Yarrowia lipolytica: one gene and its partners. The protein of the gene in region 3 interacts with the protein of the main gene of each other region in a pairwise test. Links are inferred from orthologs where the notes say so. Each region holds a gene or a part of one and is shown on either strand. Other genes may lie near its edges.

The links.
Region 1: the proteins of YALI1_A06672g (region 3) and YALI1_C18892g interact in binary tests that used the Saccharomyces cerevisiae proteins (3 or more experiments, as listed by UniProt). The link is inferred for Yarrowia lipolytica from reciprocal best matches to the Saccharomyces cerevisiae genes SLA1 and RRP7.
Region 2: the proteins of YALI1_A06672g (region 3) and YALI1_C30884g interact in a two-hybrid assay, tested with the Saccharomyces cerevisiae proteins (2 studies listed by BioGRID). The link is inferred for Yarrowia lipolytica from reciprocal best matches to the Saccharomyces cerevisiae genes SLA1 and LDB17.
Region 4: the proteins of YALI1_A06672g (region 3) and YALI1_B11083g interact in a two-hybrid assay, tested with the Saccharomyces cerevisiae proteins (2 studies listed by BioGRID). The link is inferred for Yarrowia lipolytica from reciprocal best matches to the Saccharomyces cerevisiae genes SLA1 and SUP35.

The regions. Positions count from the first base shown.
Region 1 is NC_090772.1:1,886,874-1,893,386, forward strand, and holds YALI1_C18892g (uncharacterized protein), read right to left. Parts: upstream 2,419-6,513; coding exon 1,654-2,418; downstream 1-1,653. Other genes in the region: YALI1_C18872g (uncharacterized protein), read right to left, coding at 1-392; YALI1_C18878g (uncharacterized protein), read right to left, coding at 910-996, 1,040-1,174; YALI1_C18901g (uncharacterized protein), read left to right, coding at 3,306-5,129; YALI1_C18932t (uncharacterized protein), read left to right, coding at 6,410-6,513. UniProt on the Saccharomyces cerevisiae protein: Plays an important role in the synthesis of 18S rRNA but is not required for the 5.8S and 25S pathway. Is necessary for the cleavage at site A2. Is required for efficient association of RPS27 with the pre-ribosomal particle.
Region 2 is NC_090772.1:3,084,845-3,092,090, forward strand, and holds YALI1_C30884g (uncharacterized protein), read right to left. Parts: upstream 3,610-7,246; coding exon 1,963-3,609; downstream 1-1,962. Other genes in the region: YALI1_C30859g (uncharacterized protein), read left to right, coding at 1,071-1,694; YALI1_C30901g (uncharacterized protein), read left to right, coding at 5,344-6,114; YALI1_C30910g (uncharacterized protein), read right to left, coding at 6,136-6,240, 6,294-6,434. UniProt on the Saccharomyces cerevisiae protein: May be involved in protein-linked oligosaccharide phosphorylation since the deletion reduces the negative charge of the cell surface.
Region 3 is NC_090770.1:664,207-673,402, reverse strand, and holds YALI1_A06672g (uncharacterized protein), read right to left. Parts: upstream 6,110-9,196; coding exon 2,645-6,109; downstream 1-2,644. Other genes in the region: YALI1_A06721g (uncharacterized protein), read right to left, coding at 249-1,220; YALI1_A06666g (uncharacterized protein), read left to right, coding at 6,789-7,889; YALI1_A06640g (uncharacterized protein), read right to left, coding at 8,260-9,196. UniProt on the Saccharomyces cerevisiae protein: Component of the PAN1 actin cytoskeleton-regulatory complex required for the internalization of endosomes during actin-coupled endocytosis. The complex links the site of endocytosis to the cell membrane-associated actin cytoskeleton.
Region 4 is NC_090771.1:1,105,259-1,112,890, reverse strand, and holds YALI1_B11083g (uncharacterized protein), read right to left. Parts: upstream 4,514-7,632; coding exon 2,327-4,513; downstream 1-2,326. Other genes in the region: YALI1_B11120g (uncharacterized protein), read right to left, coding at 366-755, 811-813; YALI1_B11111g (uncharacterized protein), read right to left, coding at 1,182-1,331, 1,392-1,611, 1,665-1,774. UniProt on the Saccharomyces cerevisiae protein: GTPase component of the eRF1-eRF3-GTP ternary complex, a ternary complex that mediates translation termination in response to the termination codons UAA, UAG and UGA.

The DNA of each region.
Region 1 (6,513 bases), on a different chromosome or scaffold from region 3:
AGACACAATACTACACCCCAGAGAACGATGAAGGCTGAGAGAGTTCGGATGAAAGGTAGTCGTTGGAGCATGTACACGGCTGGAAACTCGAACACTAGATATCCCAGGTAGAAGGCCGTTCCCGACCATGAATAGTCGTTGCCCTCCATATGCAGGTCTGTTCTCAGACCCATAACCGAAGCGGTGGCATTGGTGCTCTTGTCCATAAATTGGACCGCGTAAACGAGCATCATGACTGGGCACAGATACATGTCAATCTTGCGCAGCAGTCGTTTGTCTGTAGCGGCATCCAGGGTGATATCGTTGACCTCTCCTACTTCCACGTCCAGCTTTTCATCTGCAGGGTCCGGGAACGTTTTTTCGAGCGATTTCGAGTCGTTGCACTTGCTCATTTTTCAGAAATGGCCAAAAGTCATCTTCAGCAACTCGCCAGAGATATATATACCCTTGTGTGGGCATTTTGTCTGGCAGTTTTATGATTTTATCCAGACACTAGCGAAAGCTAAACTGGATATGAGGGGTGTTGAGATGAGACGGTTGTGGAGACAATTTCGAGGTTATGAGTGGACCGTTGGGATGAGGAGATCAACCGCTTTCGAATGAGCCCAACATCAACGATGTATCTGTCGATCCAGCTCGAAAACACCACGATATCCGCAAACTTTTCCTTATCTAATCTACAAGGAACCTTAAGGACTGGATATTGCGCATTTTGGAGGGAGACAGCAGGACCAAAAGAGTCGGGGCGTATGTGAATCGGTCTTCAATTCACTCTCCTGATCTCTTGATGTCACTTTGACCCAATCCCCACGTGACTACCTCCTCACAGTCCCCAGTTCATCTCTTATCTCTAGACAGTTAACCTGATAGCTTAGTTAGGATTCGAAGATCAACTGTGGACGCCTCCAATCAGGCACACGGTTCCGCTGTGGCTTGCGCTGTCGGAGATATCCTACCGACGCTGGTTTGTGTTGATTTCTCGATATTTGACCCACACTGTTGCTCACTGTTCAGTCCACAGTTGGCTCAAAAGTTCCACCATCTGTTGATCAAAAGTGCATTCTGAGGACATGGAGATTACCAAACACCTGCTCACTTTACCCGCCACCGAGGCAGCCACAAACGGGCCGCTTTTAAAAACCAGTTGAACCCTGAGCCGCTGTTTTCGGAGCATTATCGCTCGCTGTGAGACGAGCAACAGTGTTCATACACACTGTTACACCGGATTAAATCCGTGGGTGAGAGATCTATTTTGAAACAGATCCGAGTCACACCAAAGATCAAGCTCTGAAACATCGTCGGCGTATTCCTATACGCATTGGATCATCATTGCCTCGTCCTGAGTCTCCATCCTCGAACTCCCCTCTTGTATCTACACTGCTTCATAACCAATATCCATTATCTATAACTGTCTGTTGTCTTTTGTATCCTCGTGGTACCGTGGTCGTAGTACCGCGGTTGAGCCACCCACACCATGCAAGCAGTGGCCATCAACTGCTCTCAGTGAGCAGCAAATCGTCAGATTAGACGTCTCACTTGTCTGAGGCTGTCAAAATGAAATTCTGTCTGAGGCTGTCTGAATGCTGTCAGAGGCTGTCTGAATGCTATCTGAACGCGGTTCTCAACGCAGTCTGAAGTGCTTCTTACTGCGCCCTAATACGGGTTGAACCGCCCACTCTCCTTGTACTGCTTGACCTTCTCCTGATCCTCCTTGAACTTGGTCAGCATGTCGGTCATCTGCTCCTTCTTGTACTCTCGGATCTGGAACCGGTAGAAATCCTTCTTCTCCCGCTTCTCTCGTCGCTTGATCTCAGCGAGCTTCATTTCCTCGGCTTGCTGCTTGGCGGCCTCCTGCATGGCCAACGACTTCTTTTTCTGCGTCTTGACCACCGTGGTGAATCCGTCGGCGTCCACCACCGTTCGGCCCGTCTTCTCCACCTTCTTCTCCTCCTCCTCTCGGGCCGCAAACTCCTCCATGAAATAGTCCACCTCGGCCTGCAAATCGTCGGGCGCAGGGAAACAGTACTTCCATAGCAACTGGTATCGCTGCTTGCCGCCAATCGTCAGCTTGGCGTCCCACTTGACTCCACATGTAGCATTCTTCTTGGCCTGACTCAACACCCGGTTGCAAGAAGCCGCATCCACCATGTGAATACGACCGCAGCCGCCAGAAAGACCATGTGTCAGCGACTCGGCCCGCACATTGCGACTCACATTCACCCATTCAAAACTCTCCACAATGCTGCCCCCCAGACTCTGACACAAGGCCTTGATGTGAGAAAGAGTCGAGTCCGCAGGCAGATTGCACACAAAGATCGTCGAGTCCTCCGACGCAGCAGAATTGTCGTCCTTCTTCATGTACAGATAGTGCGTGTTGCCCTTGGGCATTTTCAGCGGTAGAGTCTCGTAGCCGCTCATTCTGGTCGCAAAATGTTTGTGCGTGTATGTGTGTAGATGTAGGACGGGATTTTTTTTAGACGTGCATGACACATGTAAAAAGATTCACCGCAGAGGTTATGAGAAGGATGAGGGTCAAATTTTGGAAGGAGATTGTTGGGTGTGTAGGAGGGAGAGGGAGTTTCTGTAGTTGTAGATTTTTTTAGTTTTTTAATTTTTATTTTTTTATTTCTTGAGTAATTTTATTTTATTTTATTTTATTTTATTTTATTTTATTTTATTTTATTTTATTTTATTTTATTTTAGTTTAGTTTAGTTTAAGTTTATTTTAGTTTATTTTATTTTATTTATTTCTGTTCATTTATTTAATTTCCTGTTCATTTCATTTTATGTATTTTATTAGTTCATTTCATTTATTTCTTTTTATTTTATTTTATTATTTTATTATTTAAATTTCGTCCAGTGAAAAATCCCAACCATTCACTTTAAAGTAGACACAACTGCTAACAAAACCCAACCCCCAAAACTCCCCCAATAATGCTCCAAATTTGATGATTATTGCATCCACCACCACCGCCAGCTTCCAGCACTTCCCATCCAAATTTTCAGCCAAATCTACATATCCAAAACTTCACCAAAATGCCGAGGGTAATAAAACCCTAATTCGTTTAAGGTTCACGTATCCGACCTCCCATTACCTAATCCATATGCATCGTTTAAACGGCACTAAAACACAATTATTTCGTTACCATTGTATTTTTCGAACCGCCAGGATCCTAAAAATATCAATTTTGGCCCCAGTATCCCCAGAATTATCCATGTTTAGCCCTCACCACTTTCGGAAACTCTAAACCACCAACTACACCATCACCATCTTTTTCTGCACATCCAAAACACCACCGAACACAATGTACGACCCAGCGCGCGACTGCTACCAGGCCGAAGGAGAGTCAGCTGACGCCCGAGACGCCGCGGAAATCGCAGGCGGTGAATTTCTTGCTGACTCAGCAACCCCCGAGACCAAGTCCGACTCCACCAAATCCGACGGAAACGATCCCAAGCAAGAAACGTCGGAAACAAAACGACCAGCATACAATTACCTGCCAAAAATCGCCCGCAAGGAAACCACCTCGGGATCACGTGACGCGGCCTCTGCCAAGCCGCAGCTCAAACGACGGGAGCGCGAGGATGTGAGAGTGGCTGGCGATCGGGTTGCTCCTCGGGCCGACATGGGCAGCTATGTGGACTACAGTGAGAAGGAGTCACGTGAGCGGCAGGATCGGGATCGAGATTCACGTGACCATAGAGACCGAGACAGAGACCGAGACCGAGGCCGGGACAGGTACGATTCTCGCGACAGAGACAGATATGATTCCAGAGACAGGCCCCGCGATTACGACTCGCGCGACAGAGACAGAGACAGAAACAGGTACGACGACCGGGTACGTGACTACGACTCACGTGAGAGAGACAGGTACGACGACCGGGCACGTGACTACGACCGCGGTAGCCGTGACAGCCGTGATTACCGTGACAGACATGACCGAGAGCGAGAGAGATATGATTCGGGCGATTCGCGTGAGACCCGAGATGTCCGGGAGTCACGTGAGCGGTCGCTATCACCCACTCGCGAGCCAAAGCCGCACGATCCCGCTGCCCCTGCTCCCAGTAAGCAGAAGCGGCCTTCGCAGCGAGGAGGACGGGAGGCTGCTGCTGCGCGAGCTGCTCAATATCGTGCAGAGATGGAGAAGCGGGAGGCACGAGCGCAGGCTGCTGCTCAGCAAGGGGATCAGGTGGGCGACTCTCTGGTTCGAAACCATTACAACCAGGCTCCTGAGCGAGGTGTTGTTGCTCGTCAGTCTTCGCCTATTATCAAGCTGCGAAACTTCAACAACTTCATCAAGTCTGTTTTGATTCAGAAGCAGTCGCTTGGGTTTGGAATGCGTGTCATTGACATGGGATGTGGTAAGGGAGGAGATTTGAACAAGTGGAGCAGACAGCGGGTTCGCGATTACATTGGAGTCGATATTGCCGATGTGTCTGTGCAGCAGGCGTCGGAGCGGTATCATAACATGCAGCCTCGGCCTCGGTTCTATGCCGAGTTTCATGTTGCTGATGCTTTTGGAACCCCTCTTATTGACATTATCAATCCTCGAGCGTTTCCAGTCGACTGCATTTCCTCCCAGTTCGCCATGCACTATGCCTTTGCTACTGAGGAGCTGGCTCGAAGCATGTTGACCAACGTGTCCAACTCACTTTGCCGAGACGGCGTATTTCTGGGCACCATTCCCAACTCCGACAAGATTCTGGAGGGAATTGCCGGTGGTCTGAAGGAGAGTGAGCCGAAGGAGGGAGAGGAGCGATACGGCTACTTTGGAAACTCGGTCTACAAGGTGGAATTCAACACTCCTCCCACCAAGGACCAGGCCTTCCGACCTCCGTTTGGACACAAGTACACCTTTTACCTGCAGGACGCTATCAACAATGTCCCCGAGTACGTTGTTCCGTTTGAGGTGTTTCGTGCCCTGGCTTCCGATTACAATCTGGAGTTGATCTACAAGAAGCCATTTTTGGAAATGTTTGATGAGGAGGTGAAGAACGATCTAAACATGGCTCGATTGGCTGAGCGAATGAAGGTATTCAAGGAGGATGGGTCTCTGGGCATTGACGGAGACCAGCGAGAGGCTTGTGGGTTCTATCTGGCTTTTGCTTTTCGAAAATTGGGTGCGTGATGAGGCGTCTTCAGCGCAAGATATGTAAAGTATGAGTTAAGACCGTTGTCTATGTAGGAGGAATGAGGGGGTTTGTTAATATCAATCTTTTGGTTCCAATGATACCCACCGGGGACTTTTATGTTTCTTTCGGAATTCTGGTATCTTTTGGCGTAGATTGAGGCCCAGCTAAAGCTCCGAGTTTCCATCCTGAAGGCTCAGACTGATGACCCCCCGTAATCGCCATATTCAGAGCACTGGCGGTCTACTTCCCTGCTGTTGGTCAATCAAGTAAAAGTGGTTGGTGTTGTTAGGGTAGCGCAAGGTGGATGGTAGTTAGATATGACAACTAGTCGAAGCACAAACTGATGAAGATCCGCAAAAAGACCATATAACAGCAACTAGAACAGATATCTTCCCCGTCCCTTCAATTACTTGATCAGACAGTAGCAGATCTGGCTTTATCGTGCTACAGTACATACAGTACTTTCAGTCAATCTCCCTCTCCTCTTGTATATAACGGCCCATCGTCATCTATTGCAGTAGAACTACCACACGAAACCAACCACCACGTTTTCCAGGAACACGGTGGGACGTCGAGGACTTCACCAATAAAGAGATGTCATCAAGGGCTTCCGAATGAGCCCAAAAAATATGCAAATCTGGTTCTCGTCAAGGCAAAAAGGACAAAAAGGTCGTACCCGGAATCGAACCGGGGGTTACTGGAAGACGACTTATTAAGAGTCAGAATCCCAAGGTGATAACCGCTACACTATACAACCGTGAAGAAAAGGATGATTTTCTGGCAGGATCAACTGCCGACGTTCTGCGTGTTAAGGCAGATGCCATGACAAACTAGACAAAGAAACCGAACCCTTGATTTTTTGTAAGGACCAAAGTCGCTTACTAAGGGCTTGGGGGTGCCGGTCACGTGCAAGGGTGACTTGTTTCCCACCTGGGACGCACCCCGGGGGGGAGTATATAAGAAGGGACATTTATGTATGATTAAGAAACAAGTTATCACCAGCCTGGAACGTTATTACAGACAGCGAAGCAACGGTTAGATTAAGACAGCGACAAATTCTACCGACTGAGAACTTTCCGCAAGATAAGAGACGATCGGATCTTACATTTGGTAGCGATGCCCTCGGTTACGTTTCAGACAGAGAGACTTCAGTTTAAGACATCGATTCACCATACGAGGCACAAGATTGGGCACGTGGGGAATCCCAGATTCGATCGACGACACAGACTACGACGAGTCTTACGCAAGTTCTGATACGTTCGCAACAGCAGATTCAATGACAGTACCCCCCACAGGAACAGGCGTGGGCGGAGAGGGCGAGGTTGGCCATAACAACCAGGCGGGACAGGACGTCCCCCAGGACGAGCTCCAAGGTTTCAA
Region 2 (7,246 bases), on a different chromosome or scaffold from region 3:
CAAGGACGGTTATGGGATCGAAGAAGAGCAGAAACTCGAAGGGGAGAAGGATGGTGACAGCAAGAGTGATGCCGAGGTTGAGTCCACGATAGACTACCGTACTCCAAGTTTGAGGCAGACTACCCCATTCCTCGAATGACCAACACGGTGGGGAAAGCAGCACCAAGAACCACGAAATCAAGATCCACACGTCGAGACCGGCGATACCAGGGCGCCGTTAGACGTCCTCAAGATCGGCCTAGAAAGTACCCTCTGGCTACAAAGGCCTAATTCATGTATTCATAGCATTTTCTTGGAGTTAAAGAGAGGAAGAACTCCATGACCAATTCGGCCACCCCAATGGTACCAATTCGATAATCCTAACGGTACCAAGGACCTTGCACTTCTCTCTCGTATGGCAACGTCTCCGTCTCCAGCCATCAGCTCCTCGTACTACAGGAATCAGGGGATCAGGGTAGTAGTGTGCCACAGCGAGTGGGCGTCGATGAGAAACTTCCATGGTGGGACATCACACAGCTGCAGGCCCATAGTGACCCAGAAGGTGACACGAGGTCAAATTGCACCGACCACTACGTTAACCCTCATGTTGTGTCCTGGGTCGAATTCGATGAAGGAAAGACACGAAACGCGAGCCAGGAAGAGCTTGACACAGACTGAGGCAAGAATGAGACGGGGGATTCTCTGAGGCAAGAATGAAGCCGGTATTTTCTCTGAAGTCTCGTCTGTCGGCCGAGAAGTAGTCAAGTTTCCCGGTCACGGGCCGCGGGCATGGAACATGGCGCTCCCGATCCATGAGTTCATTCCATCAGCGCAAAGCCGTTGTAGTGGGGGATGAGTGGGTCGGGTTTTCTCTGATTGAGGTACCGGAGGATCAGCCAGCGCCGGTAATGAGACATCAAGTCGTCCGAACCAAAGACTACCGACACTGATTCCTGGGAGGCTGGAGAGATAGACCGGAAATCACAGCCAACGGTGTCGGCAAGTCTGTCACTGTCAGTTATATACTGCCTACATAATGTGACTGCTACGATGACTTAAACCCTGGTCGACTAGTCCCTACTAACGGCAAGATGTTATCTTCAATCTCAGCTTTGGCGAACCCAACAGTGTTTCAACCTCTCCCGAGAGCCATTGACAGAACCAGAATGGTTAATACCACTTGGCGTTGGCGTCGGTACATTGAAGATCTCCATGTGTCGGGGCCGCCCTCGATGAGAGCGCACTCCACATGCCAGCCACCTCCTCGGTGGTGGTCAATGTCTCGGACCTTGGTATTGCGGCACTCAAACTGGGGCCATAATCGACATGAAAACAATACCGCCTTTGTTCCCGCTCTACAGCGTTTCTTCAGGGCTCCAGTAAGCAGAGACCTTTCACCAATCAGTTCTGAAGCAAATGATGTATTCGTTTTGAACTCGCAGAGGGCTATCGATCGGTGTGTTTCTCATGTCTCTTCAACCACTTTAGGGCTCAGAAATGTGACACTACCTAGCCCTCCATTTGCGACACCAGATCGAAGTCAGACCAGAGACTGGCCGCCGCTACTCGTAGATACTACAGTACTTGTAGTACATACTCTGATTGATCTAACAGAAACCTTCCTGGCGACGGTTCTACAGCTACTCACTCCTCTAATATTGTTGGATTGTGTTTTGAACTATATACAGTATTGTGGTAGTATAAATAGATGCTGATTTGGACTCTGTTATGTCCTCCTGGTCCATTTCCTTTTACTTGCCTCACATAGACCCTCTTGTCAGTGTTGTGTACTCTTGCCATTGTCAAGACTCTTACCAAATGAACGGTGACAAGACTCTGAGATGATTCAATGGTATGCGAGCCCTGACTCCATGGAACCATGGAACTAGAGTATCACAAGACCAGCCTCTATCTCTACCTATGACCGTCCCTCAAGGATGATTGCCTGGTCATACTCATGCTCTGACCCAATAACTCCATCTCCTACTCCCGCTCGGCAACACTTAAATCTCCCACGCTGGTATTTCTGATACTCATGTCGAGCAGTTTCTTTCTGCTGGGAGGCAGCCGCGGCTTCTCCTTCTTGTCCTTCTTGTCACGAGACTCCTTCACGTCCTTCTTCGGCGCAGGAGAATTCCTGCTCGGCGGCGGAGGAGGAGCTGGACTCTTGACCCGTGATATTTGCGGCATCGGAGACTTGCCTCTAGACGGAGGAGGAACGGGAGGCCCCTTGGACGACGCACGTGACGGTGGAGGCGGTGGCGCAAGCTTGAGTGAGGAAATGAGCGATGTGGTGGATGACATGGCCGAATTGGTGCCCAGAGAACTCTGACTAAGTCGCCGAGTACCACTGAAATCGGTCATACCAATGCTGGGCACTCGGATCTTTGAGGGGCTCTCCTCCTCGTTGAACGAGCCGATAGAAGAACTGGGAGAGGGGGGAACGGTGCTCATGGGAGACGGGAACGTGTACTCCAGCCACGGGACTCCGAGACATCTCACAGCCAGTCGTAATGTCGTCTCTGATACTGGAAGGAAAGTACTACTTCCCTTGTGACCTGAAAGCATCTCCAACACATCAGTCAGACCCTCAATCTTGTACGGCTCGTGTCTGATTTGGGAGTTGACCATAAGTGGGTGGAGAACTCGCAAATACGTGTTAATGAGCTGCTCTTCGTCATTGGGCAAGTCGTGGAGCTCTCGAATGAACACGTCGATGAGCACCAACAGATCGTTTGTGTAGAAATACTCATAAGTGGGTTCATTCGTGAACAACAAATACAACAGCTTCAGACCCATGATCTGAAGACATGTATCTATCGCTCGATTCAGTAACAGCACCAACTTTGCGCCAAACTCCACGTATCCGTCGATATCTAGGGAAATCAGATCCAGCACTTTACTCGAATAAATCCCCGACTCTTCGTCTTCATCGTAAGCTGCAATCATATACTGCTCATTGAGACAGAGCAAGACTTTCATGACGGAAGCGTCGTACAGCGAGGTATCGTCTCTGTCTGCGTTGACAACGGTCCTCAAGAGCGAGTCGATAAACTTGTCGGAAATGTTTTCCAAGTCTGACGTGGAAATTCGCTGGATTTTGCACATTTCAAACGTGAGCTCGAGCAACACTCTTCTGAGCCGTAAAGCCGACGTCTTCTGAAACGTCAGCAAGAGCCGAGTCAGCGCATGGCATGCGTTTTCCTCTTGCATCATTTCCAGAGTGGCGGGATGCGAATCAGAGTCTATGAGCAGAATCAAAGACACCACCGCCGCCAGGTCTGTGTATTCCTCTGCCAACGTCAACATGGCGATCAATTTGCGACGGGTGAAGGCTTTGTGGAGCGTGAAAATCGGAGAAGTGGTCAGCTTGTATCCTGCTCGAAAGAGATCGTTGTCGGAGACGAGAAAATCAGATAAATGTTTAGTTGCAAATAGGAGGTAGTCCTTCAGTGCCGACTCGACCACGGGATATGAGTGGGTCTTCACAGAGACTATATCCAGCAGTTTGGTCCAGAAGTCCGAGTCCGACATGTCGCCATCTTCTTCTGGAGGAATGGAAATGTCCGGTGCAAGAAGAGGCTCGTCTGAGACGGAGCTCATGAGACTTTCCAGTAGTGTTTCCATCATTGGATTGATAGAGTGAACCGGTTAGCGATGATGGGCTGTCTGTGAGCTGAGTTAGTATGGCGGTCTTAGCTGAGTTTGACCTTTCCCCTTGAGATAGGGCATATTTACTCACCAATGATGGACCGAAACGAATGTGGTCAATGTTGTAGTTTAGTGGTCAGTGTGGTCAGTGTTGTAGTTTAGCAGTCCGTGCTCGACGTGCAAGTCACAAATGGCTTCGTCTCTCTCTCTCTCTCTCTCTCTCTCTCTCTCTCTCTCTCTGTTGGGAGTCGATCACCTCGGTCTTGCTCAAGTCTCGACGTGATCCAAGACGGGATATCACGTGATTTCCAATCAATTCAAACCAATGGTCAAATCACGTGCAACGCGCCTGTTGATCTGGTCGTCGTTGCTGTTCCTAAATGCTCAAATGTCGCCGCGGCAGTATCACGTGGATGTAAATAAACAGTCCCCAGAATTCCACGGCTGTTCTCGTCGGTTGCTGGTCGGAATTGGCGCTCTTGAATGGTTTCTCCCCGTATATCACTTGAATGGGTCTCTCTGTCTCTCTCTCTCTGTCTCTCTCTGTCTCTCTCTCTCTCTCTCTCTGGAGCCCCTGGTCTTTTTGTGCCGGTTTTTGATCCCCCGCGCCGTGTGTGTAAGTGGTTACTGGTATCTGAATCTGGGAAGGGCTGTATCTTTTAGGACCCAATGCCCCCACCTCCCAAATGCACGCTCTTTCTAATCTGGGGTGATGGCAAAGTTTATTGGGGAGCGAATGGAGCAGTAAGGGTGGTGGTAAGGGTGGTGGTAAGGGTGGCGGTAAGGGTGGCGGTAAGGGTAGTATTCCGGTAAGGGTAAGGGTAAGGGTAGTGATCCGGATCGGGTAGTATCCCGACCCTGATACTGCCAATAATACCTAACCCATGTTCTTTTCTCTCATGGCTTCACTTGCTCCGAACTCCCGCTACTTGTACATATCCCAATATGGTTGCCCTTGCAGAAAAAGTTTCAGCGAAAATTGGCGTGAGGTATTAACATGGTTCGGGGAATTTAAAAATAGACCGTGGGAGCTGGCCCGGCCGAGAACGGGACGTTTGGACGCCTCAAAATGGAGCTGTCGACGAGGCGAATCTCGTGATATGCTTGGTTTTTCTCTGGCTTCGATTTTGGTCGATTCGACACCCTTGTCGGACAAGTTTTCAGGTCCGATGCGGATCAGGCGGAGTTCTCGAGCAGTTTGAAGGGTCACGTGATGTAGAGGCAGAGTTTAGTAAGGGGGAGTTAAGGGGTGGTTTAGAAAGGCCATTAGTGTTGTATTTTTTGTTTCTGTCAGTTCTTGTCCCTGGCTAATGAGTTGGGCGGTGGTGGAGTACAGTACATTGTCAGAAGCACAGGTTGTGGCTTGTTGTCTGGGGGGTGAGAGTTGGTGAATGATTTTGGGATTATTGCTTGTTCTTTTGTGACTTGAATCTTTTCTTTTGCAATCAAAATCTTCGTTCTTGATGGAGTTATATCGTTCCGTTCCACTCAACTACCCCAACTACATTCCTCCATTTTGTTAACTAAATTCATCAAATCCCCAACTACGTTCTTTCAATTTCCAACTAATGTTCTCCTTTATTCCAACTAGATTTCTTCATTTTGTCACCATCCTCCGAATTTCCAACTAATTCCTCCAATTCCCAACTACATCATCCATCATCCAAACGTTAATCGCCAACCTGATGCACACCACTTCAACTCTCCAGCAACATGTTCAAACGAAAGAAAAACGCGGGACAGAAACGAACCACCATAATCGACTCGGATTCGTCGTCCGAAGGCTCTGGAGATGAATCCGCGCTTTCCAGCGCCTTCAAACGCAGAAAAAACGATACCCAGAAACGCACCACTCCAACAAGTGTTGCCACCTCCACCAAAGTGAGAGCTCCGTCTTTCTCTTCCACCATTGACCATTCCCATTCCCGCAACCTATCTAAAACTGACGAAGCAACCAAGGAGACAATCCTGTACGCCAAAGACGACTCGGATGACTCGCAAAAGTTGTCAAAGGGCCCATACAAAGTCCCCTTCTCAAAACCCACTACCACTACCACAGTAGGACTAAAGGCTTCGTCCAATATCAAGAGCACCACAAGCCAAGATTACCAACCGGACGTGTGTAAAGACTACAAACTGACGGGATTCTGTGGATACGGCGACTCGTGCAAGTTTCTGCACATGAGAGAAGATTACAAGGCAGGATGGCAGATTGAAAGAGAATGGGAGATCAAAAACAGAGAGGATGACCCACCACGTGATGCCGGAGGAGTGTCACGTGACGCAGACACCGCTACCTCGCGCGCCGACTCGGGTATACCGGATACATGTCCCATCTGTCAGGGGGAATTCAAGAGTCCGGTTGTGACTCAGTGTTGTCACTACTTTTGCGAAAAGTGTTTTCTGGCCAAGCATAAGAAGAAGCAAAACTGTTTTGTGTGTGGCAAGAACACCAATGGTGTTTGTAAGCCCTTCAAGCGGTAGGAGGGTGTGTATTATATGTATTTATTGAGCAAATGACTTGCACTGAACCAATTGCACAGTTACTGTCTGTATCTCTCCAATTGAGAGATTATGGAGCATCTTGGAGCCTTCTATGAACAATGTTCTCTGGGGATTAGCGGCCTTCAGACCTCGAATCGTTCAAGTCGGAACTCTCAGACGAGTGAGATGCATTTTTGAGACTCTCTGCGAGGATAAAGAGAGGAATGTATGAGAATAGACGTTCCTACCCTCGATGAGATTTCCACTAGTTGACAAGTACCAGAGTCCTGTCTACAATCTGTACAGCGTGGAACCATCATCTAGTTACTTATCTATATATCTAAGTATTGTTATCATATTACTTGAGATTATACTTACCACCGTACGGTCAAGAAATGCTGACATGTGTCTACCAATCGATGAATATGTACCCGATAAACACCATTCAAAGTGCATATTGCTCTTGTAGGCTCCTCAAACTGTTTTACGCCTTACCAACATCTCCAGACACATTCCTTCAGATCATTTTTGGGGAGATCCCTATCTCGACATCCAGGACCAGAAACGACAGACGTAATCACCACGAAACTCATCGCTTGTACAATATAGGTACAAGTACAAGTGCAGTCTGAGTGGTTGTACTTGTACTGAAAAAGTCCTTTTCCATTAAAAATCTCCTATCTATAGACACCCCAATCGACATGTTCAACCAGCACTCAACCGTCCAGCTTTGGAGAGTCAGAAAACGACGGAATCTCGGAAAGAACCTGGAAACACTTGAAAAAACAAAGAAAATCCAATCAAATATGCCTTCCAAAGAATATCACGTAAATTAATCCTCCTTTTCCGCCCATTCTTGTACCAAACTCCGTACATACTTCTACATGTATAGTTCATGAGAATAGAAGAGACAACTTCTGAAGGAGAAAAGATACTGCCATCAGGACTTCACCATTGTGATCATAACAATCTGAACTTCTCAATGATATATATTTAATGCTCTCAGCAGCTCGGCGATATGGACTATATGCCATTCAGTACAGCAGTTGACAGGAACAGTGCAAGAGGTGTTTGAGAGGTCACGTGAGATCACGTATCTGTAGTTCACGTATGGGCTTTGTTTTAAAGAGTC
Region 3 (9,196 bases):
AAATTACAGCAGAGTCAGAAGCAGACAAAGACACTTGGTCTCGACAGAATCTCGCCAGTGACTATGTGACAGTCACTTCGTCATATCGTCATATCTTCAGATCGTCGTATCGTCGTATTGTACTGACGCTGCTCGCCCATCACCTCTACCACGTGTTTTGTTGAACCTACGATACTGGCATCAAATACCAGAGCTACTATCCACACAACTGAATAATTTATTGTACATCTAGACCGCTGATGCTGCGTCTAGTACAGCGCCAACGTGGCCTCGTACTCGCCCCACTTTTCCTCTCCTCCTCGTTTCGCCACGGCCAGGTTAATGAGACTCTTTGCTTTTCGAACCTGGCCCAGATGCAGAGCCCGGGTAACCAGAATGTCGTTGTTGAGATCCTCGTCAGTGCTGACAGCGTCCAGAGCCTGTTGCAGCAAATCTCCCTCGCGGTCAGTAAAGGGAAGATTACTCAGACGCCACACGCCCCCCAGGTACCGTTCTTCAATGCATGCTTTGACGAGACACTCAAAGGCGCCCATTTGCGCGCTGGCCGTGAGAGATCGGATGTATGTAAGAGCCATCATGGGGTCCAGACGCGCCAGGCAGGCGATGTAGATGGTCACGGACTCTCGCTGGTCACATTTCGGTGTGGTCTCGTCAAAGTACCGCACAATGAGCTGGTCGCCCTCGCGGCGCTTCTTCTGGGCAACGGCCTGAGCGTTGAGAGCCCGCACAACCGCGTCAGGGTAAGTGGAAGCTGTTCCTGGATAGGTGATTTCCTCCACAGCTGTGTTCATGTCGGCTCGATCCAGGGCGTAGCAGCCGTTCATGAAATGCTTGTAAGCCACAGGCAGCAGAATCTCGGTCGCGTAGGCGTCAGCTGCCTCCTGGTTGGCGTCCAGAAGCAGATAGTAGATTAGACAGTTTTGTTGCAGGTCATCCTGGAGCGTTTCTGTGGTCTTGTCGGTCTCGATCCGCCGCACAAGTTTGACGAGGTCGTTGTAATTCGAAGGAGGAAACAGCTTTTGCGTCTCGGCTAGCGATTCCCGGTTGATGTTGTCTTCGTAGAGTCGATCAAACATGTTTTTTCGGTCCGGAAACAGCTTTCGCGTGTCGCCAATCGTGTTGAAGAGCGGAGACGAGTACACAAACGGCTCGCTCTTGAAGTAGTGCTCGATCACGAGCTCACCAAACTTCTTCTCCACCTTTTGTGTGAAATCCGACATTGTTGGATGTGATGGTGAGGATACCAGATGTTGTGATTTTGTCTCTGCAAGAGTTTATTTTGACGCATGTGGTGATGTATTGCTGAGACTGAAATCGCGACTGTAGAGAAGATGGAGTTCCGATAGTGGGTGGAAGACGAAATGAATGGCCAATTTCTGTCAGTTATCCATCACATTTACCACTGTCCCTGTAGGCTGAAGGCTTACTACAGTGTACATACTGTCTGTACAGTACATCCATGCACATAATACTTGTTTGAAATGCTGTTGAGGCTACTTATGTTTTCCTAATACATCACTAATATCTAACTAATATCTAACTAAAAACAAGTTAACAATGCATAACTTCAATGCATCAAACAACTTCAAAACCGAAAATAACTCTGAATAGTGAAACAGAAAGTGTACCGTTTCGGCCGTCACGTTACTCGAAAGGCCCAAGTGTACATTTTATCAAGCACTTCTTTACATGAGCTCTTTCAACTTTCGCAGAACAACTTTCTCTCCAACTACTTGTAGCCCTCAACTAAAGAGTCTGAGGTTGGCGCTTACAACTCGACCATCAGTTACAGTACAAAACATACTGTCAAAGTGACTACTATTGACCGATGGACGAACCAATACTCGCAGGAATCGTAACCTGTTGACCTTTGACAGTCTGAGATGACGAATTGCAGACTACCTTTGAGGATAATTGGGTCAACTGACAGCCTTGCACTACAAGTAGAAATCTTACAGGGCCCAGGTCCTCTGGCCAAGGCGAGTTCTCCGACGTTCGCCAACATGTATACTCATCAGCTACTGTTTATTGAGCCACGGTTGCAAGGTATAATACATCCTGAAGTTGGACTCCAATCATCCCTAGTACACCTCTCCGCCTATCTTTGGTCTACACAGGTTTTCCGAAAGTCGATTTATAACACAGCAATGGCTACTCGTGAATCACACTGACATTACTGGATGTACTTGACGTACTGCCACACCCAGCACGCTAACCACAAGATTCCCCCCATAAGCAAAAAAAACATAGCGGCACCTGGTTTCGATCCAGGGACATCAGGGTTATGAGCCCTGCGCGCTTCCGCTGCGCCATGCCGCTCCGTGATGGGTTGGCTACATCGCAATGGAGGTTTCAACATGACTCACGGGTCACGTGACCCCAAAGTTTCAAAATGCAGTTTCTGTTAGACAATAAAACCTTAATGTTGTTTCCAAACCGTAATTTTGACTGCTGCAACTACACCTCGGTTTGGAGATTAGAGGAGTAAAAATGCCCATTATTGTTGTTGCTGTTACAAATCATTTATTAATCTATTTAATCTTGATGGCAGCAACTGTAAGTCACATGAGATTATACATTCTGGTTATCAAAATACCTGTTACACATTTTCAATTAGCTCGTCCATTCACATACAAGTCGCCAATTACATTATCATAACATTATTCATACATAGCCTCTCAAAAACCAAAGGGATTGTTAGGAGTGGCAGAGGCCAGGTTGGCTCGCTGACGACCCGTGGCGGTGGGCTGTAGCGGCTGCTGACCAAAAGAAGTGGAAGGTGCTCCGGTCTGTTGAGACTGCATGCCTCCAAAGGGTGACGAGCTGTTTCCAAAACCAAAGCCGGTAGGCTGCGACTGCAGGCCACCAAACGGCTGCTGCTGCTGCAGGGCTGCTGCTGCTGCTGCTGGAAAGGCTGTTGTTGCTGCTGCTGGAAAGGCTGCTGCTGCTGTTGCTGGAAAGGCTGCTGGAAAGGCTGCTGGAAAGGCTGCTGCGGCTGGAAGGTCTGCTGCGGCTGCATCTGTTGACCAAACGCCTGCTGCTGCTGCAGAGGCTGGATGTTGTTAAAGTAGCTCAAACCGGCAGACTGCTGGGGCTGTCCGAAAGGAGTAGTAGGCTGGCTTCCAAACGGCGAAGCAGAAGCTCCAGTGGAAAAGGGCTGCTGCTGCTGGAAGGAAGTCTGCTGAGGTTGCATAGGCTGCTGCTGAAAAGGCTGCTGCGGCTGAGAATTGAAAATGCTGCCACCAGTGAGCTGCTGCGACATTGGCTGCTGTTGAGTGAACTGCTGTTGCATTGGTTGTTGCTGGGTGAACTGCTGTTGCATGGGCTGCTGCTGGAAAATGCTGGAGCCCGTCAGCTGCTGCTGCATGGGCTGTTGGCCAAACATGCTGCCTCCGGTAAGTTGCTGGACCATGGGCTGCTGCTGCTGCTGCTGCTTGTTGAGGGAAGCACCGGCAAGAGCGTTGGTGATGGCATTCATGGAGTACCCGCCCGTGTTTGCAGGCTGGTTCATGCCAAGAACATTCTGAGCAGTGTAACCGGTAGGAACGCCCTGAAGTCCACCTGTGGGGACACCAACAAGACCGCCGGTGGGGACACCAACCAGCCCACCAGTCTGCTGACTGAGAAGAGTGTTGGGACCACCAGTTAGGAAAGGATTCTGCACGGGAGCAGATCCGGTAAGAGACTGTTGTAGTGGCCCAGTGGTCTGGGGAAGAATGCCGGTGTTCATGCTCTGCTGAGGGAGAGCACTCGTGGACTGGGACATTGGCTGCTGGGTGTACTGCTGCTGGATGGGCTGCATGATACCACCAGTAGCTTGTGTCTGCAGGTTGGAAGATGTCGGGGTGGGCTGCAGAGGCTTGATGTTCATCAGATCGTTGATGGAGCCGGTTCGAACAGGCTGGATGGGAGCAGTAGGCTGAGCTTGAATGGGCTGCTGCTGAATAGGAGCTGTGGGCTGAGCCTGGATAGGCTGCTGCTGAACGGGGGGCTGCTGCTGAACTGGGGGCGCCTGTTGCTGGGGAGGAGCCTGCTGCTTATCCAGAGACGACCAGGGATCGGTATCGTCTGCCTTGGTAAGAGTCTTGCTGGTGTTGTTCTTCAGAGCACCAGTGGTGTCTGAGAACAGGCCACCGGAGGGGTTGCCGCCCACAGGAGTGCTGGCAGAAGTACCAGTGCCGCTTCGACCGTACTTTTCGTCAAGCTTTTTGGTGACTCGCAGAATATCACCTTCCTTGAGACCCAGAGATCGCAGAGTGGAGGGAGTCACTTCAGGCAGAATCGACTCGTCCATCTGATCTCGTGTGAACGAGGTGGCATATCGCTGACAGGCATGCACGTCGACTCCACAATCCAAAAAGAATCCGAACCAGTCGTAGTCCGACTCGGGAGTTGGCTTGGGAGCGTTTGCAGAAGACGCTGCTCCCGATGACGACTTTCGCCGGTCGGACCGAGAGGTGGACCGTCGTCGGTCTCGCGAAGATCCGCCCCGATCTCGAGAAAGGGGCTTGTCCTCCTCCAGATCAACGCCCGTCACGTCCTCCACATACTCCAAGTCCTCAATGGCCATTTTGGAACAGGCCACGGCAATTTTGACACCGTTGACCTTGTGCAGATGGATCTTGCCGTCCACACATCCAAGCAGAGCGGCGTCTACCTTGAATGCACCGGACCGATCGGTCCAAGTTCGCACCTTTCTAGGATCAGGCTTGGACTTGGGAGCGTCTCTGGAAGATCGAGACGATCGCTTGTCCGCTCGATCTCGAGACCGGTCGTCACGGGATCGGTCACGTGATTTATCACGCGACGAGCCGCTGGCCTTCCTCTGCTGGTCAACTACCTTTTTGAGGGTCTTTTCGCTGGGCGCAATCTCAATGTAGCTACTGGGGACGACACCAGCGACTCCAGACGAGTTTTTCACCATCCACCAGTCCCGGCTCTTTGTGTCATCTATAATGAACACATTCTCGCCCTCCTCCACAGACACCTCGTCTCGACCCTGAGCGTCAAACTTGTACAGCACCTTTCCGAGCTTCTGGCCGGCCGAGTTGGCTGCCATCATTACCTCGGTGAGTCCCGAAGAGTTGTAGGCTCCTGCGAGTTCGCCAAGGGCGTAGATCACCTCGTCAGCGGTATCTTTGCTTCCCAGGTGCAGATCAAACGAGACGGTGGGGTGCTTAAAGTCTAGAAACACATGTTTCTTCTCGCTGTTGTAGTTAACGAGATCCTTGACTGGCCATTGTTGGGGCTGTCCGGACGATCGCTCCGGGGAGAACATGATCATGCCGTTGCCAATCGCCAGAGTCGCTTTTCGTTTTTTCCGTCCGTCCACCTCCTGGACAGGCCATGTGAAGAAGTTGGCAGAAGACGAGGAAGGCTTGTCATTTGCAGAGGAAGCGTTTCGAGATCGAGACACGGACGAGCCTCGGCTTCGGCTGTCGCCTGCTCCCGAAGAGGGCCGTCCACTTCCATTTCCGCTTCCGCCTGGTCGGGCAGGCATGGGAGGGGGAGACTCTTCGTCCCGTCCGTTGGCGTAGACGGGCTCGGTGGACGCATGGGTGGTCGAGGCAGGCGGTCGGTACGCTTGTGGGGGCGGGGGGAAGGCATCCTTTGGAAGAGGAGGTAGTGGTGAGTCTTTGGTGATGGGCGTCGTCGGTTGGCCAGCGGGGGTGGGAATGGCGGCAACAGGCGTGGGAATAGCAGCCACGGGGGCAGGGGCCGCGGATGGCGGAGCGTCGCCGGTGTAGTTTGCAGGCACAAATCCGTACTCGTCTCCTCCGCGGCACACCAGCAACCATTCACTGTCACTGTCATCGTAGACTGTCAGTGCGTCTCCCTCCTTGAAGGTCAGCTCCTCCTCTGTCTGTTTGTCGTAGTCGTAAAGAGCATAGGCTTGTCGTTTGGCCGGCGCCGGCTCAATGTAAGTCAAGGGAACCAGTCCGATTTCGTTGGTGCCCGCAGGTCCAGCTTTTTTGGCCTTTAACCACTCGTCGGTCGACGACTTTTCCAAAAGGTAGAGAAGCGAGTTCTCGGAAAAGGTCAATTCGTCCTCCGTACGAGCCTCATAGTCGTAGAGCGCTTGGTACACGCCGTGGAACAGAGACGGCATTGTCGATGTCGCGATGCTGGGCCAGAGCTATGTTGATGACTTGTCAGATGCGCACAGCAATGGTTGTGAGCTTATGTGGTGGGAGGTGTGTGGGAGTAGCTATACAGCGTGAGTGAATTGGCTCAACAAAGTGATGCACCAGAGCACAAGCCATCAAGCGATAAGGGTAGCAGAAAACCGCGGGAAACAGAGAGATTAAATACTTTTTGGCGACCGGTCTCAAGTTACACAAAACAAACCACAACTACACCCCCACACACGTGACACCTCATCTCTGCCCCCAACCTCTTTAGTACAGTGCGAGTACATAATCGTTAAAGCCACGCAACTCATGCATGTAGCCCTAACCTGCCCAGGGCTGTGCACACTCCACTCCCTTGGATTAATAAGCGACCGGAGGACCCAACGGACTCGGCTCGTTTTGCTTACTAAGCTTATCAACAATCCCGCCGTTTTTCTTCAAAGGTGTACAGCTGCAACTAGCGCTACTACCCGTATGTACTACTTGAGCTGTATACAGATCACGTGTTTAAAGTCTCACCGTCTAAAATTATTTTTTTAATTTTTAGAATGAAACCAACCCTAACCCCGGTCAAGCCTTCCCATCGCAGCTTACATAATTCTGAATCAAGATTCGAAACAGAACTAAGCAGCATCAATACACTACAATACTCATTCAATGACAAGCACTACAGCATCATCCAAGGCCACAAAAACGGTCACGGACGACGATATTTACCGGCAATCGTCGCAGTTCAAAAAATGGTCGTTTACGCCGACGCAACTGGCAGCTAGACGGCTTCAAACCAACACCAACGGCCGCGAGTTTGTCAAACAGTCGTTTCTAGCGGCGGATCTCGATCCCGCCATGGCCAAAATCCTCTCTGTTGACGAGGAACTTACCATGGTCAATTACATGTGTTCTCAGAGCGAGGGAATTGCCCAAGTTCTCAATCTACCTTCTAAAGTGAAGGCAACAGCTGTACTCTTCTTCAAAAAGTTTTTCCTCATCAACTCCGTCATGGTGTACAGTGACCCCGTCAAGGTCTTGCATACGTGTTTCTTTTTGGCCACCAAAGCCGAGAATCACTTCTTTTCCATCAACCAGTTCTGCAAATACACTGGAGCGGTGGCCAAGGACGTTTTGCAACTCGAGTTTGTGGTGATGCAGTCGATGCTGTTTTCTTTGAGCGCCCAGAGCGCATACACTCCCTTGCATGGCTTCTATCTCGACATCCAGACGTCGCTGCCCCACGTTCCTGCCTCGACAGTCGGGTCTCTGTACGATGGAGCCAGAAAGTACGTGTCTCTGAGCTTTCTAACCGACGCAAATTTCCTCTTTACCCCTCCGCAAATCTCGCTCGCGGCCATGATGTGCACAAATAGCCAGATAACCGAGCAGTATTTGCGAGTGAAGATGAGCGACCCAGCGCAGTTCAACCTGACCACAAAGCTGGTTCAGGAGTGCGTTGACATGCTGCAAAAGGTGGACAAGCCGACCAAGGAGTATGTGCAGGAGATTGGAAAGAAGCTGCGGTCGTGTGACGTGGAGAAAACCAAGGCGAGATTGCTGAAACGCAAGCTTAAGGAGCAGGGAGAGGGCGACGCAAAGAAGCAGAAGCTGGACTCGGAAACTCCTCAGCCTCCAGACATGTCCAATTCCGCTTCTACTGAGCCTGCATCCGCAGAGGCTTCTGCTTCGGCGTCTGCATCGACAACAGATGCTTCTGCTCCGGCGTCGGCGTCTGCGTCTGCGTCTGCGTCCACTGAACAGTCCTAATTGTCCCATGGTAGCAGCTACCGCAACATTAACATAGAATGCATTATTTAATCATATCGTACTTGTACGTGCCGTTGGTGGTTTCTACAAACACGGGTCGCTGAGTGTTGTAGTGAAACTTTCTGACCAAATCAACACCAACACCAACACCAACACCAACACCAAGTGGACATGAGACCCCGTCAACACGATAAGCTGGACGAAGACTTCTGTCCGTCCCAAGTACTATAGATGGTCGAAGAAAGACCCATAAAAAACGGGTTATGTGGAACAGATTTTCTACGCGAGTACAGTATGTACTTTTGCCTGTACCCATTATCATCTTAACACGAATAAATTATTACATGAATACATAAATCAATCTCATAAATTAGGCGTTGCACACGGGATCAACTCCAGAAGCAATGTTGCACTGGTGCATGAGTCGCTTCTCGTCAGGAGCAAACTGACCGGTGACGGAGTGCCAAACACCCTGGTTGTGGAACAGCACCAGATCGCCGGCCTTCCACGAGTGGGCATAGACGTACTTGGGATCAATGTTGGGTCGCATGATTCGATACAACTCCTTTCGAGCGTCCTCGAGCTGCAAAACCTCGCCGTTCTTTCGCTCAATCTTGTGGACACAACAGCCGTGGGCCTGCAGATGATGCTCGCCGGTGACGGGGTTGGTCCAGACCATGGGCAGTCGCTTGACCTTGCTTTCCTCCCATTCGGGCAGCTTTTCGAGATCCATCTCCTTGCCCTCGCTGACCATAGTCAGACCATCATCAGTAGCCTTGGCAGGCGAGATGAAGATGTAAGGGTGGGGAGCGTAGACGACGGTAGATTCCAAAGCCAGCTTCTGGTCCTCTGGCGACAGCAGCTTGAATGCATTGGCGCCAGACACAAAGCAGGTGGCGGCCTGGGTCAGCTCGAGCTCGTCGCCGGTGTCGGTGTACTTGACCTTCTGGTGCTTGGAGGAAGGGGGCACGTCGATTCCGAGCAGAGTGGTGCAGACAGGGGGGGAAAGTCCGTACAGTGCCGAGTCAATGTGCCATCGGTAGAACCGGGTGTATCCCTGGGCCTTTTCTTCGTCGGTGAGCACGTTCTTGTGGAAGGTGTCGTGGATGGGGTGGGTGAGGGTCAGCTGGTCGACGCCCTCGTGGTTGTAGTGGGTTCCCTGGCCGAGAATCTGGACCTGGGGCTGGTGGGGCACTGAATGACCGTCCTTGGCCAGCACGGACTGCTTGTGTCGGAACTCCTTGGAGTGGCCGTATGCTCCCTCTCCGCAGGAAGGATCCATTCGCTTGGTGATGGCGTACTGCGAC
Region 4 (7,632 bases), on a different chromosome or scaffold from region 3:
TTGGAGGCTCCGGGGAGCTCTGACAGGCGCTGTTTACAAGCTCACTGCACTTTAAGTTATATATATCGCAACATGCATGCATCCTGCACTGCGATATGGGGACTGGAGGGGAGGATGACTAAGGAGCGAGCTGGGGTCTGGTCGTCAAGTCACGTGCTGGGAGAGAGGGTGGAGGGGGGAGGAGGTGTTACGGAAGAAGAAACGCCGCCAATTTTCGGTCTAGTCACGTGCCCTTGTGGGTGGTGGCACGGTGGGTTGAAGGGGGGAGGTTCTGTTGTCTCTTTAAAAAAAAGAGTGGTGGAGAATTACGCATGAAGTCTGAGTGACCTTTCAGTGATGACGCAAGAGCAACCTTGACGGCCTATCTACAGTTGCTGTCTACAGCACATTTGGTGGGCAAAAGAGGCAACCGAGTTGCCGTTTTGGAGCTGATCGTCGGTCATGTGATGAGTGAAGGATGGATGAAGGATGGGTGGAGGGTGTGAAATGGCGTTTTCGACGGTGAAAGACTGGAGATGATGATAAGACTGAGGTCTTTTCGAGACGAGATACCTTCGAGACGAGACACTTCCGGGACGAGACACTTTCGAGACTCGAGATAGGGCTGTGAAACAAGTCTCAGCAAGGGACTGACTCAAGAAGGAACGCTGGAATGACGCCTGAGGTCTCGTATTGGTGCATCCAGAACTTGCACGGTATGCTGAATCCCAGGTGCGATTCTGGGCTTCTCCAGACCGCCAGACCTGTTCAGACTGCTCCAAACTGCCCAATCAAGTATCTAGAGCACCCTGTCATCTGGTGAGCTCTGACCATCTGACTGACACTAGCAGCACGAGTTGAGTACTGCATCCGCAAGCCAGCCCAGATGGCGCACTTTCCCTTACAGATGTCAAGCCCAAGGCCAACACTGCTAAACCCGAGTCCTACTACACAACTACTGCACCCCACCAACTACACTATTGGACCTGGGGTCTTGCTAAACTCTGGGGTACAAGGAAGACCACCAGGAGTTATATTGACGCTGCTCCATGGTGCTCCAAAGTGGTCTTGTTTGACTCTGTTTGACGCATTGGATCCACACTAATCCGCTAAGAACAAACTACTGCGGCGCTGGTAGCGAGTGTAGACCCACACCAAATCGCTATAGCTCGCTATAGCTCGCACTAGAGACAACCAAGTGGCTATCGCTCATTCCAAGTGGCTATAATGCACACTACAGAGCCTACATGTCTCCTTGTAGCCCGTGTGTTTGTTCCATAGCCAAGCTCGTGTCTCACGACCCTTAAACTGCTAAAACATTTCTCGGGGAAACGATAGTCGGGTATTTGGGCCTGTCTTAAAGCGCGTTAGCGGCTTCTTGGGCGTCTGAAATGTATCTTTTTGATCGCAACTTGGCCAACCTGACATATTGAACTTGTAGCAGACAGAGCTATAAGTGAAACAGTGGCTTGGTCCAGAGTCGGTCGGTTGTGTTGCTGTATAGGAGCACAAGGGAACCCTTGGTTGATGTTAGAATGGCTGTAGTTGGTCCCGGGACTCGGAGTAAACAACGTGACTTCAAGTTGGACCCACATCTGTTGACATACTGTTCCAAAAATGTCCGTCAGTTGTCTGCAGTGGGGACTGTCTCATCAATAGATTGAAACGCCAGTCAAGTGGGTGACAGAGTGGAGTAGTTGAATACAACCACGGCCTGGAATCCAGAAACATGGTACTGTAAGTCTTCTGGGGGTTTGAGCGACTCGCGGACTCCACTAGGTAAAAACTGTCGCATGTCTAGGTATAATGGACAGTTTTAACGAAATAGTTCAATAATAGTATTGTAAGAGATAGCAAACAGTTGACCCATCTGTTCAGAATCTTGCCCTGATTCCTTTTATACCATTATCGCACCCTCTCACCACACAAAATTCCCACCTATAGGTGCATTTGTCAATGGAAACAGAAGGAACGTACAACCAAGGAGAGACGCTTTCCAGATAAAAATAACATATCAATGTGTTCAGAATCGCCTCCTGATTCCATTGGTGTCATTAATTCAACGTTTTGTGGTACAAAAGCTCCCGCTATGACCCGAATTCATGTTGGCCTGGGACATGAAGGGTCATCAAGAAGTACAGCACCTTACTTGTCTGAAACTGCTGAACGTGACCCTGGATGCCTCCAGCCATGGCCTATTCTACTCTACACAGATCCATCTGATAACAGTAACCTCCTAAAACAGTAACATTCATTACTAACACAATTTTTACATTCTTCCTTATTGGACCGCTGGCACGAAAAACCTACGGGCAGCGGCGGCTCGTCACGCTCGCAGATGAGCTGCTTACAACAGCTTGGTAACTCGACCAATGGCGATACTCTGACCCTGGTCTCGCAGAGTGAACCGACCCAGCTGGGGAGTCTTGCTAAACTCGTCCATACAGACGGGGTTCTGGGTCTCGAGCCGGGCAATGATCTTCATGCCCTTCTTGGCAAAAGCCGGGGGCTTCTTGGACTTTCGGTTGGTACCCTTCTCCAGCTTGTGCAGCAGAGCAGTAAAGGTGACCTCCTCAGCAGCGGTATGGATGTGCATCACACAAGAGAAACCGGTCGACAGAATCGATTTGAGCTCGGTGATGGCAATCTGGGCCTCAAAGACGGTGACGGCAGCAACGGGTTGGGCGGCAGAACAGAGAACCTGTCCAATCTGAACCTCCTCCTCTTCAATGCCCTTGACCTTGAGTCGGATCTGCTCTCCAACAGACGCGCCGCCAACCTCCTGCTCGGTCTCCTTGTAAAGGGTGGTGACCTCGACGGGGACCTTAGAGGGCATGACGACCAGGTTGTCGCCCTTCTTGACGGTGCCAACCTCGATCTTACCCTCCACAATGGTACCCAGGTTCTTCTCCTTGTTGGAAATGGGGAGCATGAAGGGGCCGGTGAGGTTCCGCTCGAGCTCAAACGAGTCAAGCAGCTCCAGCAGAGAGGGGCCGTCGTACCAGGGGCACACCTCCTTGGAGACTCGCTCCTTGACGTTAGCGCCGGTGAAACCGGACACGGGCATAAAGGTGATCTCCGTCTTGTCCGAGTAGCCCAGACCCTTGAGGTAGAGCTTCAGCTTGCTGATACACTCGTCGTATCGCTCCTTGGACCAGTTGACGGTCGAGTCGTCCATCTTGTTAATGGCAATCACCAGCTTGTTGATACCCTGGGTCTTGGCCAGCATGGCGTGCTCTCGGGTCTGACCGTCTCGCTCGAAGCCGGTCTCGTACTCTCCCTTTCGGGCAGAGATGACGAGAATACCGGCATCGGCCTGAGCGGCTCCTCCAATCATGGAGGGCACGTACATCTTGTGGCCGGGGGCGTCGAGCAGAGTGTATCGTCGCTTGTCGGTCTCAAAGTACGACCGGCCCACCTCGACGGTCTTTCCCTCGGCTCGCTCCTCCTTGTTGATGTCCATAACCCAAGACAGGTACCAGCCGGGTCGTCCGGCGTCGGCAGCCTCCTTCTCCATCTTCTCAATAGTTCGCTTGTTGACGGTGCCGGTGAGGTAGAGGATCTGGCCTCCCAGAGTGGATTTGCCGACATCGACGTGGCCCATGAAAATGATGGACATGTGGTCCTTGGTCTCGCCAAACATTTCCTTGATGGTTTCCTGGTCGATCTCGGCGTTCTGGGCGGCGATCAGGGCGTCAGCAGAGGCAGCGTTGGCGGCAGAGTCGTCCTTAGCGGGAGTGGACTCCTTCTTCTCAGGGGCCGGAGTAGACTCCTTAGAGGCAGGAGCGGGGGTAGCCTCCTTCTTCTCGGCAACAGGAGTGGACTCCTTCTTCTCGGCAGCAGGGGCAGGGGACTCTTCCTTCTTGTCCTTGTCTCCGCCAATCTTGAGAACTCCTCCGGTCTTCTTCTCGGCGGGCTTGTCTCCTCCAATCTTGAGAGCGCCGCCCGAAGTCTTGGGCTTGTCTCCTCCAATCTTGAGGGCTCCTCCGGAAGACTTGGGTTTGTCGCCTCCAATCTTGAGGGCTCCGCCAGACTTGGCAGCGGGCTTCTTGAGCTTGTTGAGAGCCTCCTGTTTCTGCTTCTGGTACTCCTCCAGCGTGAGAGTCTTCTCCTGGGGCTCCTCAGGCTGGTCATAGCCCCCTCCGTACTGGTTGTCGTAGCCGCCGTAGTTGCCGTACTGATTGTCGTACTGGTTGTAGTTGTTGTAGCCACCCTGGTATCCTCCTCGGTAGCCGCCCCGACCTCGACCGGAATAGCCGCCTCGGCCCTGGTAGCCCTGGTAGCCCTGGTTGTAGTTGTTGCCCTGGTAGCCACCCTGGTAGCCGCCCTGGTAGCCGCCCTGCTGGCCGCCGTACTGGTCGTAGCCGCCCTGGGGAGCAAAAGACTGGCCGGGAACAAACGCCTGGCCGGGCACAAACGACTGACCGGGCACAAACTGCTGAGGAGCGTAGCCCTGGCCCTGGCCCTGACCCTGGCCCTGGCCCTCGTTGATGTTGGCCTTGTTGGCAAAGTCCTGGTTGAATTGATCACTCATTGTGTGTGTCGTGGTGAGTGTTGCGTGGTGATTCTCAAAATTATGCTGGGTGGTTTTTCAAAGTGCAAACCTTAACTCAGGGTGAAAATTTTAACCCTAGCCCTGGGGAGTGTGGGGGAGAAGATGGAGGTAGGTGGAGGGTCGATGGGGAAGCGGACGCGGTTTGTTTTTTTGGGTCGGGTCCGTTGACACGTGACAATTGACACGGTGTGACATTCGTGGTGTCCTTTTGGGTGCATTACGTAAGTAACTGCCGTGTGTACTGTGCTGTGCTGTGCTGTGCTGTAGCTGTGCTACCTGGACACACTGATTTGGTGTGTTTTCAAAGGGAGATATATGTTGGTTTTGAGTGAGGAACCAGGGTGAAGATGGGCGAGAATTGTATGACAAATTCAGTTCTGTTTTGCGATTTGTTGTGGGATTTTTACAGGAAAAGTCGGGAAGATGTTTTGTTTTGAATGATGATGGCGATGAGTCAGCGATTTGTGGGCTTTTGAGAAATGATAGGGGACTGGCAAGTTGAATAAATGAGTAATTTTAGTATAGGGATTCGAGTTATTGTTCCAGATTTGTCAAGGGTCATCCACAGGAGAAGCTAGGGTGGTTTTGTAGTCATTTTTGAGGAGGGTTGGATTTGGGGTGATTTGGAGTGATTTGAGAGATTCTATGGAATAAAAAGATAGCAGTTGAGAGAATGAGGCCCTGAGACTCGAATGGTACTGTTTGGATACTCTCTGGGTATCTCTGGTGGGTGATAGAGACATGTATGTTGTTTATCCCTCTGAGTATTGTAATGGAACTCATTTACATACCCCAAGGGGGATTATGAGAGCTGGTATTGTGAGTGAATGACGAAGTAAGAATCGATTCAAGGTCTCGGTTTCAATATAGATTGGATTTTGAGCGAGCTGGGGAAGATGTGGTCTGATTTCTGTACTGGGGTGAATTTTTGGCAACTTATAATTTATGACAGAGAAAAGCTGGAGGGTTGGGGAGTTGAAAGATAGATCAAATGACTGACGGGGAATTGATTGGAAGTTTCTGAATTCCCATATCTTTTCCGGTTAAAAAGATGGACATTTCATATTATTGTCTACGTTCCATGTTTTACAGAAATGAGGAGTGGGATCACGTGAACGATAGGGGAGTGAGCACTCGTGAATAAGAAGTGAATTTAGATCATAGATGTAACACATTTGCACATATGGGTGTAGTAATTGTGCAGTTGGATTGGATCTTGTGCATTGTGATTGTTTAGTTGGGCATTTGTTAGACCTTGTTCAAACTTTGTTGAATTGTAAAGTAATATATTCTGAAAGGATCAGTGGAGATATCACTGAAGAAATTATATAATATGGCTTGAAAGTGAAGGGGATAGCCTGGACCATAAGAAATATGTGCAACCAATAACTACTATCCTGTTTTATATGATCTGAATCAGACAACGCGGGGACTTCCTGTTAGTTTTTAGTTGGGGAATACTTACGTGAAGTGGAAGGGAGTTGGGTACAATTTTTTCACCCAAGTAATGGCAGAAACAGCTTGAAAGGTTTTATTTCAGATATCTATCAACTCGGTGACTTTATATATCTATTAAATCCCGACTTTTCGATACATGAACCTCGCCTGATCCACAGTAGTAGGCTGAAACGCATAAGATGGAGTTCAGAGTACACCCATCACTTTTGCCAGGGTTTTAATGGATCCGATTTGGCCTAAACTTGCAATTACTCCAGAATATGGACCGTGGGAGACCCTCATTGTACGGAAACCATGTCCTGGACCTCTACTCCTCCAGTTCGGAATGATTCACGTCCAGCTCAGGCCGAGACTTGTCGATATTAACGAGTAGAGTGAAATTATCAATTCTCACTATTCTCTTGAGTCCACCTTTGCTGATACAATGCCATTACTTGTTCCCCATCCTCTGGTACTACTGGTTCTACTGGTATTGCTGTATTGTTGGTTCCGGAGTAGGAATACCCTTGGTAGAAGGGTCAGAGAACTGAATTGTGGACAATCCACAAACCAGCCTCTGATATACACATCTGTGTCAGTTTGAAAACTCGTCGAGCTGTACTCTTGGCTTTGCTTGAAGTTCGAGTGTTTAGCATACTAGAGTGGACTTGTGTGGTCGCAACTGTCTCATTACTAAGAAAAGTAGGAAACGGGGCTAATAAACGAGTTGTAGCTGTTGTTTCTAAAGTCCAAACGTCTCCTTCCGGCTCCTTTTCTGTCATTCAGCGTTTTGTCGGTTCCATTAGTCACTGGACAGACGAGACAAAACTACTCCCGAATAGCTCTCAATGTCTGTCGTGAATCGTATACTATTAGACGGATTTTGGACAGTTGTAGACGGTTGTAGACGGTGGTGGACGGTTGTAGACGTTGGTGGACGGTTGTGGACGTCTTGAAGAATCCTCTGGCTCCACAGAGCTCATGGCTCCGCTGAGACCTATGGTCTCCATTGTCAGTCGATAGTTAGACACGACCAGAGCAATTTGAGATTCATTCTCAGCTCTATCAAGACCCTTTAACAGGAAAATTCACTTTAAAACACACATCGACTCTTCGGAAGCTGTTCCAAGAAAACAGCAACATTCTTTATTGACGCACTACCGGGATTCGAACCCGCAACCTTCCCTGTCTTAACTAAAGTGCCAACTAATAGTTGATATATGCCGAGTAAATAGTTGAGAAAAAACGCGACCATTCTGAAGCCATTAACAAAGCACTGTAGAAGGAACCAAAACACCACGGGCACATTTGCCCTCCTCCCACCATCCTCGCGGACTAGTCCTCAATCTCCGACGCCACCAATGTAGCCCTGTGTTATGACATCACTTCCCGGAGAAGATTGGCCATGCTTCGTGATAATGTTTGTCCATCATGTGGCTGTGTCGTTCTAGTGAAAATAACCACGGACTAGAGATAATACAGGATCCACCACTCCCATTATGCCAAAGAAACACTCCATTTTCGGTCTAGTGCGAAATGAATCTCTGTTTCTGTTTGAATTCACTTTCTTGGTTGTGTGTGTGTCCCCCCGAGGGTGGACGGAGGAGTATACATTGTCCAGGAACCGCTGGGGCCGCCACTGTCCAAAACCAACTCCTTCA